Linked DNA regions of Lepisosteus oculatus. The protein of the gene in region 1 purifies or fractionates together with the protein of each later gene. This does not show direct contact. Links are inferred from orthologs where the notes say so. Each region holds a gene or a part of one and is shown on either strand. Other genes may lie near its edges.

Region 1 (7,194 bases):
CTCTGGGGAGAGGGCAGAGAACAACAGGAATCCAGAGTCACTACAAACTGCAGCAACAGGACCATTTAAGTTACAGGTGCTGGGTTTCTCAGGCTTAAAGACACTCATTTGACTTCTGACTACAGTTGCATAGGAACATTCAGTGCCAATAGGGGAGATCACAGGATTTATGATGCATGTCAACCACTGTACATCCTCCTCCTTGCAGGGAGCAGGGTGTCAGTGAGCACAGCTCAACCTAGACATGACATTACACAGCCGCTACAAACCAAGCAGTACAAAGCTATGTGCTTGTAGGTTAGTGCAACGTCAGGTTTTTCTTTAAAACCTCTTGAAACAAAGTTAGATATTCACATGTATCCACTAGAGGCAAGCATGTCGGCCATGTATCTGGTGTTCGGAAGCTGCCACCCATAAATGTCCTGGATGACGATGACGGCCTTGTCCGTGCTGGAGCCGGGCTTGGAGACGTAGGCTCTGAGGTGCTCGACCTGGACCTCCTCCCCCTGACCCCCGTATTCCAGCTTGTCTCCAAGGTCACAGGGGCAGGGTCGGGCTTCGTTGGCCATCTAGAGCACAAGGAAAGATTCGGGTGAGAGAACACGAGATGGGCTCCAGACAAGAGGGCACCTTCCAGCCTATCTGGTGAATATTTTATTCACCTGGACCCCTGGGGCTGTCACACAGCCCCCCACGGGGCTCCCCTCCCACAGAGACCGGGAATCTCGCCCTTAGCTCCAGCATGACATGATCTGTACCTCTGGCTCCACCCCCTGTGGGCGTGTCTGTGCCACACTGGGTATCTACAGTATCAGCTTGTGTAGTTTTACTGTCCTGTTTGGAACCTCATAGCATATTAACACACAATTGTTGTGCTGGAATTTTTTTGAGATGCATTATTTTGTGTAGTTCACGTTGTGTACAGGTTCTTTGTTATCTGTTTCAGTTTCACAGCACTTTCTTAGGTGACCCTGTGTTACTGCCAGGCTCTGTGCTCCATTTTCCAGAGAGGAGACACAGACAGGCAGGGCCAGGCTGAAGAAACTCCTCTTCTGCAACAGCTACAACACTCCGGTACACAGCAATCACGACCACTGTCTCAGTTAATAATCTGTTAAGTAAAACACACAAACCATCAAATGAAGAGAAACAATGGCCCCAGTAGTTAATCACTGATTGACTGGAAAGCTCCGACGTTCTTAAAAGGCAGCAGAGGCTATTGATTTTTTAAAGTGTAATACCATTGCCTCTTCAGCTATCGAACGCCCGTCAAAATAAGCCTTTTACAGAACATTGTTAGACAGGTACGCGACTCCAGCACGCTATTTCCCAAATAGTACATACAACTGGCAGCCCCACAAGTAAAGATTACGCAACGAACACGAATCCCTGCTTTGCTGACTTCAATATATACACATTTCATTTATCAGTTTTAATTAAACCGCATTTTGCTCCTTACGTGTATTTTAAAAAGATATGTTACCAGAAGGAAAGCTTTTCTAAAACAATGTGTTTCCTCATGCTTTCGCCCCATGGAAAAAGGAGTTTACATAGTACTGTAGTTTAAACTTAAAACGCTTCAAACCGAATAACACGTTTCTTACAACCAAGACATTACTTTATCGACAATTAACATACACGCATTGCATTTTTATAGCAGTCATAGACTTCAAACGACCTACACCTATGATTAATGCCGCACAAAGTCGTTTAAGGATTGTACACGAAGAATGCAAAACAGTACGTTCTCTCACTACTTCTCCCCATTATGTTGTTTGCATAAAGCCTTCATCCGCGCTCATAAAGCGTTTAAAAAGCTCTTATTAGTGAATGGAAACGAAAATTGCCTAGTCATCCCCACTGCTGTTACATAACACTTCTCTCGGACTGGATATTTTATTCATTGTTAAACGCACCGATTTAAAAGCGCGTTTGGCTAAATGGTCATCTCGAGTAAGTAACGTGCAGTTACAAAAACGCGAACTGGCCCATTCAGCATTCAAAACCGATCGAGACTTCATGCAAGTCGAGCTGTCGTGCACCCAAGGTCTACGAAATGACGAAAATGATATGCTATATGCATATCGATTTCAATTCTAAAACGGTATATGATATTGTTTACCTTGTCCTTTCTACTCGTAGATCTAGATTACGGGGGTTGAATCTCAGCTCTCCGACTGCAGCACCGCAGAAAAACGCTCCTGCACTGATCAGGGAAAAAAACTCGCTTTAACCCCTCCGTGTTGATACTGGCACAAAGCCAGGCAGGGTTTCGACAGCACACTCAAATACTGACTGTGTCAAGTTTTAAAAAAGTTTGCTTGGGATATGTTCTGACGGCCACATTGTAAAGCAAATGCACGCTTTGCATAACGACTTTTTAGCGAGGTGTGTGCAGTTTTTCACAGTTATGTTCTACGAATTTTAAAAATAGTGAACCACGATGAAACTATAGGGCGGTTTTTAGACCGGTAGTTCTTTTTTCTTGTGACTGTTCAAAGGACGGGTGTGTGACAAGACAGCAATAAAATTCAACACTGATCGAGGCACCGCTGGGATTCGAACCCAGGATCTCCTGTTTACTAGACAGGCGCTTTAACCAACTAAGCCACGGCGCCGCGCCGGCTGAGTCTCCCTACCTGAATTAACCCTAACCTAGTGTCGCTGTCATTGACGAGGCTTAAATTGGTGCCCTTTTCCTACGAGTTTATTTTCATCAAGCTGCGTGCGCGATCCTCCCACCTACTATTTATTTTATAAAATTCAGGGGATAAGAAACCGGAATAAAACCAGGAAGTGCAGAAGTACAGTGTATCCAGCGCTTTCAACAACAACAACAACAACAACAACAACAACAACAACAACTGGTTTTCGAGTGAGAAAATAACCGATCATTTAATATATTAAGTTGTTCTTCATAATAGTTTTCATAAACGAGTGCGGGGCATATTATTTTAGGTCGAATATGGGAAATTGCATATATTACATAGCACGCAATTTCCAGAATTGTGCCGTACCAGTTACCAAATAAACCGACAGTACGTTGCTATCTCGAAAATCAAATATATGTGGGTTTAAAACAACGAACAGGAGGCACTTCTTTACACAAACAGTGGGGGGAGTGGGGAGCAGGCTAACCAGCCCTGGTATTGAAAACGACACTCCGCTTCGTTTCAAGCAACAGCTGGATCAATAAGATATTATCAAACAGGCTAGAGTGCTCGAATGACCCCTCGTTTGTAACCTTTGTTATTTTATGTTTGTAACCTCATGCTAAATGAAGGATACTTCGACGCTAGATGTCGCCTGTTGCATTTCTAATCGGATTAAAGACCACTGCGAAAATTGTTTTTTTTCCTTTCCTAACATAGTTTTGAACATTCAATAAAATTTGAACCCATGGAGTAAACATTCATTTAAATATTTCAAATTCGACATCTCTTAACATAAATATAAGCGCCAAACTCCAACCAGACAAAAAAAAGGTTTGCAATAATTGTACGACCGACCATACCAGGTAATAATAATAATAATAATAATAATAATAATAATAATAATAATAATAATAATGATAAACTTTATTTTATATAGCGCCTTTAAAGGTGGCTTCTCAAAGCGCTTTACAGGATGACAATAACAATAAATAAGAAGACTACAACAATAAATAAGAAAATTTCACAAGACAGGACACAATTATAATTACAACAATACATCAATAGAGGAGACCGTGGAAGATGGTATTAAGAAGAGCAGAGGGGTGAAGAATGCAACCAGTTAAGTAAAGGCTTTTCTGAAGAAGAAGGTTTTGAGTCTGGATTTGAAGGAGTTTAGAGAAGGTGACTCTCTAATATCCTTGGGCAAAGAGTTCCAGAGCTTGGGGGCATAACAGGAGAAGGCCCTGTCACCCATACAATGTAGACGGGCTTGGGGGACAGTAAGGAGGGCAGAATTTGTGCCCTTAGGTGATTAATTTCCATCATTCCGAACATTTTGGAAAACAGAAACAGGACCCGTAACTTTCCCAAACCCAAGACTCTTTCAGGACATAAAGTCGTATTAGTAGTTATACTGGATCTGCAACAGCATCGGTTTTCCTTTGCCATGGCAACCGAGCGGAGTCGCAAACAGAGATCGTAAGTCGTGCGCCTGCGTAGCGCTTCCTGCCGTAAAGACCCCGCTAGCTGTCGTGCAGCAGACTCTCCGTAATGATATGGAGAGAGGGATGGATACAGATATTTATTTTTTAGGCTGACTGAATTAGCTTCGTACCCCAGTTCCCCTGGGGGATCGCAGACAAAAACAGGGTTTTAGAAGCAGTGTGGGTTGTGTTCGCTTGTGTGCCTTTTTGCTGGGGAGGGGGGGGGAGCGGGTTGATGTTTGTTTTCCGCCGAGGCTCGGTGATGGTGTCGATGTGTCGGCTGTAAGAGGAGCCGAGGGCAGCGCGTCGCACTCAAGATGGACACCGCCGAAGAAGGTAGCGTAACACGCCAGGAGCATGCCCCTGTATAACGCAACAGCAGGAACGGGACAGTCGCAGGGGGCCGGCGGTCCGGGTCGCGGTGGGCCGGGCCGGGCCAGTCCTCGGTGCGGGGCGGCACGGTGGGCGCATCGCTCAGGACCCCCTGGCGAGACGTGTTTCACCTTCCCGCAGGCTCATGTGCAGGATCCCGCCTGAGCAGTGTGCACAGGCTAGCGAGCTCCGGGCCGCACTCAGCCTGCGCTTGCCCGCTAACGATGCTTATGTAACCTCTAATCCTCCGGGGTTCAGCCGACTCATATTTGCATTTAGATTCACGCCTTTTGTAGTTTAAATTGGTGTTTTGTCACCTGCCGAGCGTCCCGCGAGTCAGCTCAGTGGCCATGAAGAGACGCACTTTATTTTATCTGATGCGCAGAATTTTTAGCTTTTGGGGGGGATTTAGGGTGACTGTACGAAATTGTACGAAGACATCAGGCTCGTAATGTCCACAGGCCAGAGGTATTTCGGGTTAAACTAGTGTAATATTTGTTTCCACACAAAAGAAATCCAAGTCTTTAAGGGTGGTTTGTGGTTTGTGCTTGTTTTGGGGTGATCGATGCGTTCGAGCAGCTCTCGCTGAGCGAATCAGCTGCCGGTCAGGTCTCGTCAGTCTCACCCTTTGCTTGTCCGGGCCGAGTCCGGGCCGGCTGGTACCGGAGGGTGAGAACTGGGTCAGATCCATGGTTCTGGTGTAGCTGTGAGCCGCATGGAGCTTGAAAGAAGGAGGAACTGTCCGGTGACTGTGTTTACTCCTCTGAACCGTGAGCAGACAGGAGACGTGCCAACTGTGTGTCGGTCGGAAGCGAGCTGTAGCGCCATGGAGCCCTGTGACCCCCCCCTCGCAATTTGCAGCTTCGAGGGACTGTCGGGTTCAGGCCCCAGAATGCAGTGCGAATCGGCAATAAAAAACTTCACTCCCTCTTCTTGTCCTGCCTCCGTGTTTGAAACAAGGCTGCTTCACTAGCCGTTCTGCGTGTGAAACAAGGCTGCACATGTACGATTCAAGCTGGTTTGGTTTTGGATGCTTTCTGAGTTTTATGAAGTGAAAAGGTGATTTAGGCCTTATATAGTATTGAGCTTCCAAGTTTTAGTGTATGTGCATTTGTGATGGTCGACAACAGTGTTATCTGCCAGCTGGACTCTTTTCTTCATTAGATTGTATAGCTGGTCCAAATTCTGAAGTTTATAGTGCTTTGCGATTTCATTTTTAGAGTCAACGTTTAAATGGATTTATAACTGAAAATGTTAAAGGAGCATAAATTTAAGATGGGAAGCAAAATAGAAGAGACTTATTTAACAAAAAGAGTTGTTTTAATAGTAGTTAAAGTGCATTAAAGTGCAGACTAATATAAAATAGATTACACAAAGTGTTGATCTGGTGTCTGTGACACCAGATTGTACTTGCTGAGCAAGACTCGGTCAGTCTGCCAGTTCATTATTCACTATTCATTGCAACTAGGGGAGTTTCTGCAGTGTGTCCTGTTTTAGTAATAAGTCCTTGCTTTCATCCCACTAGCTTTTGACAGTAGACTAAAGTCAGCTAATTGCATAGCCCCCTATTGTAATTATGCATGAATTGTGATAAATGAATGCAAGCCAGGTTTTACCAGATTGTAAAAATTTAGGATCAATCTTAGGCCATTGCAGATTTAATGCATGTGTGTGTATTGTACAGAGTGTTTCTTTCCCTTGATGTTGATGCCGCTGGTGTGCAGAACTCCTAGAAAACTGTAGGTTATTACTGGATGATCCCCAAGTGTTGAGTTGGAGGCTTAACTCCAGAGCTTGTTTGGAGGAAATGAAATGAGCGTGTTTGCAGTAAAGCTGTGTTTGCGTAGTAACTGGCAGGAGTCAGAACTGTACTGTCTGGAAAGCTTGCCTTGTTTTTGTTGGCTTGTTTTCCAGAGATGAGTAGTGGCAGACTTCTGTGTTAAAAATAAAGTATGAGATGTCCACAGTTGTGAAGAAGAGCAAAACACTGCAGTCACCAGCAGAGATCTCACCACCAGCTCATTCATCCTGTGGAAACAGTAATGTGTGTGGGGGGTGCAAATGGGTTATTTTGATAAACACAACAGCATGACAGAAAGATCTTAAATAGATCTCTGAAAAGGATCATTCATACTGCAGACTGTGAATTGTGTAGCTTGTGTACACCGACACTGGGCATACTGCCTAAAAACAGGCCTGTTGAAGCCCCATGTGAAAGTGCCACAGAGGTGGTAAGCTGAGCTGAAGCCTGTGGGAAGGAGGGCAGACAAATGGAGTGTGTGGACGCCCTGGGCATCTCCTCTGTACACTGCTTCCATTCTGCCTTGATTCCACGGTTTCAAGCACCAATGGGTTGGCTTGCAAAAGCCTTCAGCTTTGAGCCTTCTCTCAGTCTGTGTTTGTTGAAAGAATAAAAGATTTGTAAGTCGAGTTAAGACTTCCAGGAAATCATTGCTTGTCTGTGAATGCTTGATGGAAAGTTTGATTGCAGAACGTTCTGCTCAGACGTGAAAGTCGTTGCCAGAACGCTCAGAGCGGACAAACAATGCTAACTGTTGCTGGAAGCCACTGATCGCGCTCATATACGGAATGAGACAGCTGAGTGTAGGATTAAAAAGCAGGAGTTAATAGTACAGGATTTTCCAGCAGGATGCCAAATTCCTTACATTCTTCTACCTGGACCT
Region 2 (7,747 bases), on another chromosome or scaffold:
CTTACAGCATATTCTGCTTCATGGCTTGTAAAGCTTCTTAGATGCTGAACTCTAGATTAAAAGAGCTGAGAGGGACCCGTGAGCCCTGGGTGTGTCTATCTGTTCTTGGGCACCAGCACCTGGTTCCTCTGCACGGTAGGGACCCTTACTTTGGCTCCGCAGAGGCTGCCCGGCGCAGGCCCATGATGAAGCGGCCGTGGTGGAAAGCTCTCCCGCACTGGATCACGTTCTCCTCCATGGGGTAGGGAATTTCGACCTCGGACCGGCTCTCGATGTCGTGGATGACGTAGCCGTTCACGGTGTGGGCGTCGACCCCTTCGACGCAGCCTGTGGAGCAACAAAGTGGCATCGGGAAAGGCAGCGGGCAGCCTTTTAAACAGACTTCTACAACACAGCAGCAAGGTCCTAACAATATAATAATATCCTTACACTTATATAGCGCTTTTCTGGACACTCCACTCAAAGGGCTTTACAGGTCATGGGGACTCCCCTCCACCACCACCAGTGTGCAGCCCCCACCTGAATGATGCGACGGCAGCCATAGTGCGCCAGAACGCTCACCACACATCAGCTATCAGTGGGGAGGAGAGCAGAGTGATGAAGCCAATTCATAGAGGGGGGTTGTTAGGAGGCCATGACTGGTAAAGGCCAATGGGAAATTTGGCCAGGACATCGGGGTTACACCCCTACTCTTTTCAAGAAACACCCCGGGACTTTTAATGACCAGGGAGAGTCAGGACCTCGGTTTAACGTCTCATCTGAAGAATGGTGCCTTTTCTAATAGTATAGTGTCCCCGTCACTATGCTGGGGCACTGGGACCCACACAGACCACAGGGTGAGCACCCCCTTCTCTCTAACACCTCTTCCAGCAGCAGCTTTAGTTTTTCCCTGGAGGTTTCCCATGCTGGTACTGACCAGGCTTTTTTTAAGTTTTGTAGCAGTTACATTTAAATCTTTTTATTACTTATATATTAAGACAAAATGCTAAGTAACGCAATATAGTTTAGCAAGACTAAAAGCATATTTGAAACATCATCTCCAGAAATTATTTTGTTAAAACAATTAAGTTTTAAAACATTCTCCACACACGTAGTGCTCAATTAGAAGCAACTCCTACTGGCTCCTGTCCGCGTACCAGATGGAAAGACAAACAGTTACAGTGGGAACGCTTACCGTCCAGTCCCAGCTCCCTCAAGGCGCGGTACCCCCCGGGCTGCAGCAGCTCCCCGACAATCCTGTCCGGCTCCCGCAGGTCCCTCTCGATCACCGTCACCCGCCTGCCGTCCCTGGCGAGCACCGCCGCCAAGGCCGAGCCCAGCACCCCGGCCCCGACAACCACGACGTCCGGGTCCCGAGAGTCGGCGGCCGAGCCGCACTCGCTGTCCGGCCAGGTGGAGTCCGCGGGTCCGACGTGCCGCCGCCTCCTCCTCCCCTCTCCGGGACGCGCCCTCTGCTGGATTGATTGGCCGGACAGTTAAGGGGCGTCAGTGGAAAATAAGACCGGAGAAGCGTCTCAACAACGAAGAAAATAACACTTTTCCATCTTTCATTATCGACTTTTTCATTATCGCAGCTCCCCTGTATCGGCCATAAAGATGTGATTTTGCCTTTTTATACTGGCAAGCACATTTAACGTCACCCCAACCGTCATTTCAGCGTGGGGAAAAGTAGAAAAACCCAAGCCGAAGTCTGACAACTTGACAGAGGATTTCGAGCTGACCACGAATGCCTGACTATTGCTTACACACGCCTAAAGAAAATAAGAAAATATTTTAAAGAGAGATATTTGGCAACGCGTTTCTAATTTCAGCTTGCGCCTGGGCGACCTCATTAAAATCATTAACACCTCAAAAACGGACGGTTCGTGCTAAATGCAAAAGAGCTGAAATACTGTCGTATCGTGAGTAAATGGTATTAAAATGGTAATCAAATTTCCACGAAACCCCTGTGAAAGACGCTGTAGGACGCGAACATCGGAGAAGCCGAGCCGAGCTGTTTTTTTTTTTTTAAAGAACGCTTTTTTACTTATTATCCACCGTCACAGTCTTGGTCCTGCACTGAAGCTTAATTATTTTCTCGATATATGTGTATATCGATAGATTTCTCATATGTTATGTGAGCCGGCAGAAACCAGGTTTCTATTCTAAAGGCATCCTGAGATCTCCCAACTGTGCCAGAGCGGAAAACGATTGGAAAAAGCTCAATGATTCAATTCAGTCGAGATGTAATTAAAGCAGGACAAGGGGGTTCCTGGGGGAGAGCATCCCTGCTCGAGAAGAGGGGGACCCCCCACTCTGGAAGTGTGTGAAGTCTGAACACCGCAGGTCTTCCAAAAAAGTCCATCTTTTTAGAAACACGACGGACCGCATCTCGCATCACTGTGACCCTCCCTGGCCGGATCTGCTCCTGTCCGACCGGGAAACGTCTTTTGAAACTCGGAAAACCAGCGAACGGGAATCACAACGCGCGTTAAATACCCACCGCAAAGCAACCTGTTAACACAGCCGCGCGTCTGCTTTTCACAGCACCCGGCGGAGGGAGGTACTGTATAGCTTGCCAGGGCGGATGGAGATGCTCCCCCGACCGCAGACGGGTTTACCTTTTCGGCCCGGCTGCCGGAGTCCGTGTCCCGTCCGGAGAAGAAGCGGGCCAGCGGCAGGGACGCCGGGATGTCCAGACCCAGGCTGGGCAGCGCCTGCCCGCTGCGGTACCTGGCGTAGGACAGCAGGGAGGCGAGCAAGCAGCAGCCCAGGAAGACCAGCGCGACCTCCTTGTTGGCATAGTGCAGGACGGCGTCGCATTTCTTGTAAACGTAGGTGAAGCTGGCGATTCCCAGGAACGTCCACATCTCTCGTCAATCAAGGGATCGACAACTGAGCGACAACCAAAATAAACGTGCGCTCGGAATAAGTTTTTTTTTTTGTCAAAAGTGGGGTTAAACGCGTCCCCGAGAGAAACGCACTGAAGGCGGTTATGCTTTCAAGGTTTCAAAGGCAAGGAGTCCGGCCTGGGCAACCGATACCGAAATCTGAAATGTTTGTTTTTTTTTTCCTTTTAGTGAACGAATCTGCTCGTCATCGCCGAACAGACGCCGGATCAGCTGTTATTTTGGATCCAGGACACCAATGTGAGAAGAAATGAAGCCACGGAAATAATGGTTAAGATATTGCTCAGCTGTCTTCTAAATAATAAAAATAATGTTGTTCTTATAATAATGATATTAAAGAAATAATCCGTCCCCAAATGTCCTCCGATATTCAGTATTTATATCATTAGTACTAAAAAAAAAACAGACTTGAATAACCCAGCTCTTAAATAAATTGTAGTTCTTTCCCGAAGACCTTCACAGACAACTGTGCAACTGTAACATGAAAAGTGAGTTTATATTTTTTTTCTGATGGTGACCAGAATAGTTGCAACCTAGCCGGCGTGTCACTCTCGTGGGATGCTGAATATTTTATGGTAATAAGGAGTCTATGCTAATGAGCCGCGTGCCCGGACCGCGCTCTTCCCCGCCCCTTTCTTCATCGCAGTACCCAATCAGAGGCCGCAGAGCGGTGAGCAGAGCTCACGCTATCTGGCCATTGGCCAATCCGGTCCTGCCGGTGGCCGAGCTGACAGTCAGGTCTGCTCTAGTCTGATGTGACGTCATGGGGCAGGTGGGCCCGCGTCAGACGCCAGTGTCGTCCCCCTGTGCAGTACAGGCGGATCTGTCAGCCAAGGAGGGCTGGAAACACGGTTACAGCATCACCTCGCTTCCTAGAACCTGCCTGACAAAGTGTTCCATCAAGAAACATGTTTTTATTTGTGTGTTTAATTTTCTTAATACACCAGTACCATTATGTACCCGACAGGAATGTGCTGTGAACTATGCATTTAAAAGTATTCGTCAGGATATTTTCGTGGTGTGATAACGAGTTTATCATTCTGCCTTTATCAGATTCGTGTTCCTTGTGTATTTTGTACATACTTTTATTTATCTAGTCTCTCCGTGTGTGGATGGTTGCTATTGAATCATCTTTACTAGGATCAGAATATAATGCTTTTTTACAATATGTACTGCCTTACAACCGGTCCTGCAGTTAAGCCCAATTATTTTCTCAATTAAATATTCGTCGTGTTCTATGTCTGAAGTGAGATTTCAGGTTTCTCTATAAACATTGTACAGGTACTCTGAAACCCACTGTTTCAGAACAGAAAAGAGTTTGAAAAGAACTAATTCATCAACGATCAATTCAGCAGAACTGTAACAAAAACAGGGCAAGGCATTCCTGAGGCAGCAGATTTCTGGGGACACCTGAAAAACGAAGGGAAACATTCCACCCCCAAGCCTGGAAGTGTGTTAAGTCACAAAGAAGGTCTTCACTGTCAACGTACTCAGTCGATCTGCTGACCCATTGTTCAGCTTCTTCTCTAATCTAATCACACTTTAATTTAGAATACCACACATTGATTTTCGATCTTAACTGGAGTCCTTGTGGAGAGAACCTGAGAGTTGTTCACAAAAGAGAGCATGCCATTTGTTAGTAGCTAATTGATCCCAGAATTGATCCCCATCCTGTCACTTCTTGAAACACATTCCACCAACCTTAAGTATTAAGATGTGCCTAGGACACAACACTGTATTCAAACAAGACGATCAGTACTTTTAACAGGTCCCCTCAGAGGGCTCTCAGTTCAAGAGAAGTTCTAGTGCACTGTACAATTTTAACCTAACATCCCTTGATGCTTCTCAACACTGTTTGCCTCTATTGTTTCTCCACATTTAACACTGGTTTCCTTCTCGAATGGTGGAGAGAAAAGCATTAGTAAAAAGTAGAACATGCTCCCGCATAATGAATCAACATCAACATCATCTTTAATAATCTAACTACAGTATTCACTAAATGTTGAATAATTAAAGCAGACTATATGAAATTACAGGCAAATGCCAATGGATTAATTAACACATCTTGAATCTAATGTGGTTAATCTAATAAGAGCCCCGGGCATAAACACCTGACCCCATTATTCCCCACAACACAGAAAACCCTGACTAAAAAGTAAATATATTAAATTATACAATTTTAGTTTTTTGTTAAAGATCAGTAAGCATATAGTTCATATTTCCATGTGTATCTAGGGACACTTATAATGCATATAAAGCTTTATGTATAAATAGTTTATAACTTCTATTATGCAAAAAAGGTAATTAAATAAATTATGTAGCTCTACATGCCAGCTAATGGGGTCACAGCTTTATTTGCAGGCACTGAATCAAAATAGATTTTCAAATATATAAGACAGGCTTGTCTTTACAAGTAATGGTTAAAAATTGATTCGTATTTTTCTTGTTTCCCTGACGTGGTCTTTGGTTCTCCATTTTGCTTGATAAACTCCTATAAACAGAAAAGAAAACTTGAAAAACAAAAAAAAACATATACTGGTTTTTAAAAAAATAATATTTTTAGAATGCTACTGATTTGTGAATCATGCCTATCAACACAAGAAAAGATAAATAAAAGAGGAAAGAGCTAATATCCTGATGTGATCAAGAAGGTAAAAGTGAGTTTGCATTTTTTTTTGTAGGACGTGTGGGTATTTTTTCAAGAAAATCATCTGAGAGGCATACGTTCTTTACAGCACTACACGTTAGTGTTAATTAATACCACTCTGAGAGTGCAGCAATTAGAAGGGCAGTAAACATTTTAAACTTGTAACTCCAGACATTGGTATTGTAGCACTGGACAGAGGAGAAAAACTGCCCATTTCAGCCTTAGAATACTGCATTTTGTGTTAAAAAAACTGTTTTTAAACGTATACTTTAGCTTGCTTAGAGCTAGGTTTTTGAGTTGGACATTATATCTGGTGATGAAGTAAGAGGTTTTTGTTCTATGTTACAGAAAGTTTAATTTAAGGATAACTGATAAAGTTGACTGGGATTCATTTATGATAATTTCTCATCAGCTAAAATCCAATGCATGGCACATGAGGGCAAGGTGAAATTACTTAACTACTTCATTTTTCAAAGTGCCTCAATTATAAACTCACATTGTCGGCAGCCATATCACCCTGCAACTCACAACTGGCAACCCACTCAAGCTAAGCAGGTGTGAGCCTGGTCAGTACCTGGATAGGAGACCTCCTGGGAAAAACTAAGGCTGCTGCTGGAAGAGGTGTTCAGGGGACCAGTGGGAGCGCTCACTCTGCTGTCTGTGTTTGTCCTAATGCCCCAGTATAGTGACGGGGATTTTTTACTGTATAAAAGGCGCTGTCTTTCAGATTAGATGTAAAACCAAGTTCCTGTCTCTCTGTGGTCATTAAAAATCTCATGGTGTTTCTTAAAAAAAGATTAGGGGTGCAACCCTGTCATCCTGGCCAAATTTCCCATTGGCCTTTACCAATCACGGCTTCCTAATAATCCCAATCTATGAATTGGCTTCATCACTCTGTTCTCCTCCCCACCGATAGCTGATGTGTGGTGAGCGTTCTGGCGCACTATGGCTGCCGTCACAACATCCAGGTGGGGGCTGCACACTGGTGGTGGTGGAGGGGGGTCCCCATTACCTGTAAAGCGCTTTGAGTGGAGTGTCCAGAAGTGTAAGGAAGCGTAATCATTATAACCCTCAGATGCGGAGAACTCTGCTAAACCCGTTGCTGTTATTACCTCCAGTTCCACTAGCGTGGCTGTGCCTTCCTCCACCATACTGCCAATTCCACTGCTGAAGCTCAGGTAGCGTTGCTGGACAACAGATACAAAGCACACACTCAAATGTCACGGTTATGGAGAGTTATAGTACATAATGTGTTTCAAGGAACATAAAAACCTGTAACCAAGTTTGACCTGATCCGTCACTGAGCTGAGCTGTTTAGCTACGGTATTAGATCCCCTTTGTTCCAGAAACCATGTGCTTGTGGCTCCAGCGGGTCTCATCTCCTCCCTTCTGTGACCCACTTCCTGAACCGCTCTGTCCAGCTCTGAAACCTGCACTCATCCCCAACAGCAGCCCACTCCTCATATGATTTCTCAGATATTCAAAATAATTAAAAGAAATAAACATAACTTTCATCTCTGCCTTTACAAACAATAAAGATTGTCTTTTATAAAGGACTTTACCATGCATTACGTAACACACTGCATAGAGCAGAGTTTTGGGGCTCGTAGATCGTGCCACCATTGCACGTGCTTGTTTCAGGGTGCCAGTTGAATCCTAAAAAGTCTCGATATGACTCCTTCAAGTCTAGGCTACAACAGAACCCGGCTGTGGTGACCCACCGTGGGCTGGGCCTCCTGGGATTGGCAGGGCTCGAGTCTGCCAGGGCAAGCCCAGCGCGCTACCCAACCTTCCAAGCCGCAGTGAGGTTGCAGTGACACCTGGGAGAGACTCATCGGTCAACGAAGCCCAGCCCTGCTATCAGCATTGCAAGACTTGCAACGTTCTGAATAAGGGGGGTGGGATGGCTCAGTCCAGTGTATCTTTCGGAAGAAAGCGCAAATTGGTCTTCATCCCTTCCGTGCTGGTACTGTTCTGTCCAGGACTGGTGCTGGACCTCAGCACTGTGAAGCAGACTTGTGCCTCCCCATCTGGCTCAACGTAACAATCATACGAGCACAATTTCCCTCCGGGCAATGGGCGCACAGTACCTGCAGCATCTGAGCAATCACGCCCTCCTCGATGATCTGCACCGCGCTCCTCAGACCCCGAGCGAAGGTGTCCATGGCACCCACGTGTGCGATAAACAGATCCTCCAGGTCCGTAGACTCTC

The links. The genes of interacting proteins can lie anywhere in the genome.
Region 2: the proteins of marchf6 (region 1) and sqlea purify together in Homo sapiens (affinity purification with western blotting; 4 studies listed by BioGRID and IntAct, with this or other methods). This does not show direct contact. The link is inferred for Lepisosteus oculatus from reciprocal best matches to the Homo sapiens genes MARCHF6 and SQLE.

What each region holds. Positions count from the first base shown.
Region 1 is NC_090701.1:718,667-725,860, forward strand, and holds the start of marchf6 (E3 ubiquitin-protein ligase MARCHF6), read left to right. Parts: upstream 1-4,158; 5' UTR 4,159-4,455; coding exon 4,456-4,474; intron 4,475-7,194. Other genes in the region: cmbl (carboxymethylenebutenolidase homolog), read right to left, coding at 1-2, 355-569, 1,134-1,136. UniProt on the Homo sapiens protein: Endoplasmic reticulum membrane-associated E3 ubiquitin ligase that plays a critical role in mitigating endoplasmic reticulum stress, the regulation of cholesterol and lipid homeostasis, and ferroptosis.
Region 2 is NC_090705.1:10,582,349-10,590,095, forward strand, and holds the start of sqlea (squalene monooxygenase), read right to left. Parts: upstream 3,067-7,747; 5' UTR 2,850-3,066; coding exon 2,601-2,849; intron 1,455-2,600; coding exon 1,175-1,454; intron 328-1,174; coding exon 150-327; intron 1-149. Other genes in the region: uncharacterized protein, read right to left, coding at 5,296-5,379, 6,648-6,722, 7,626-7,747. UniProt on the Homo sapiens protein: Catalyzes the stereospecific oxidation of squalene to (S)-2,3-epoxysqualene, and is considered to be a rate-limiting enzyme in steroid biosynthesis.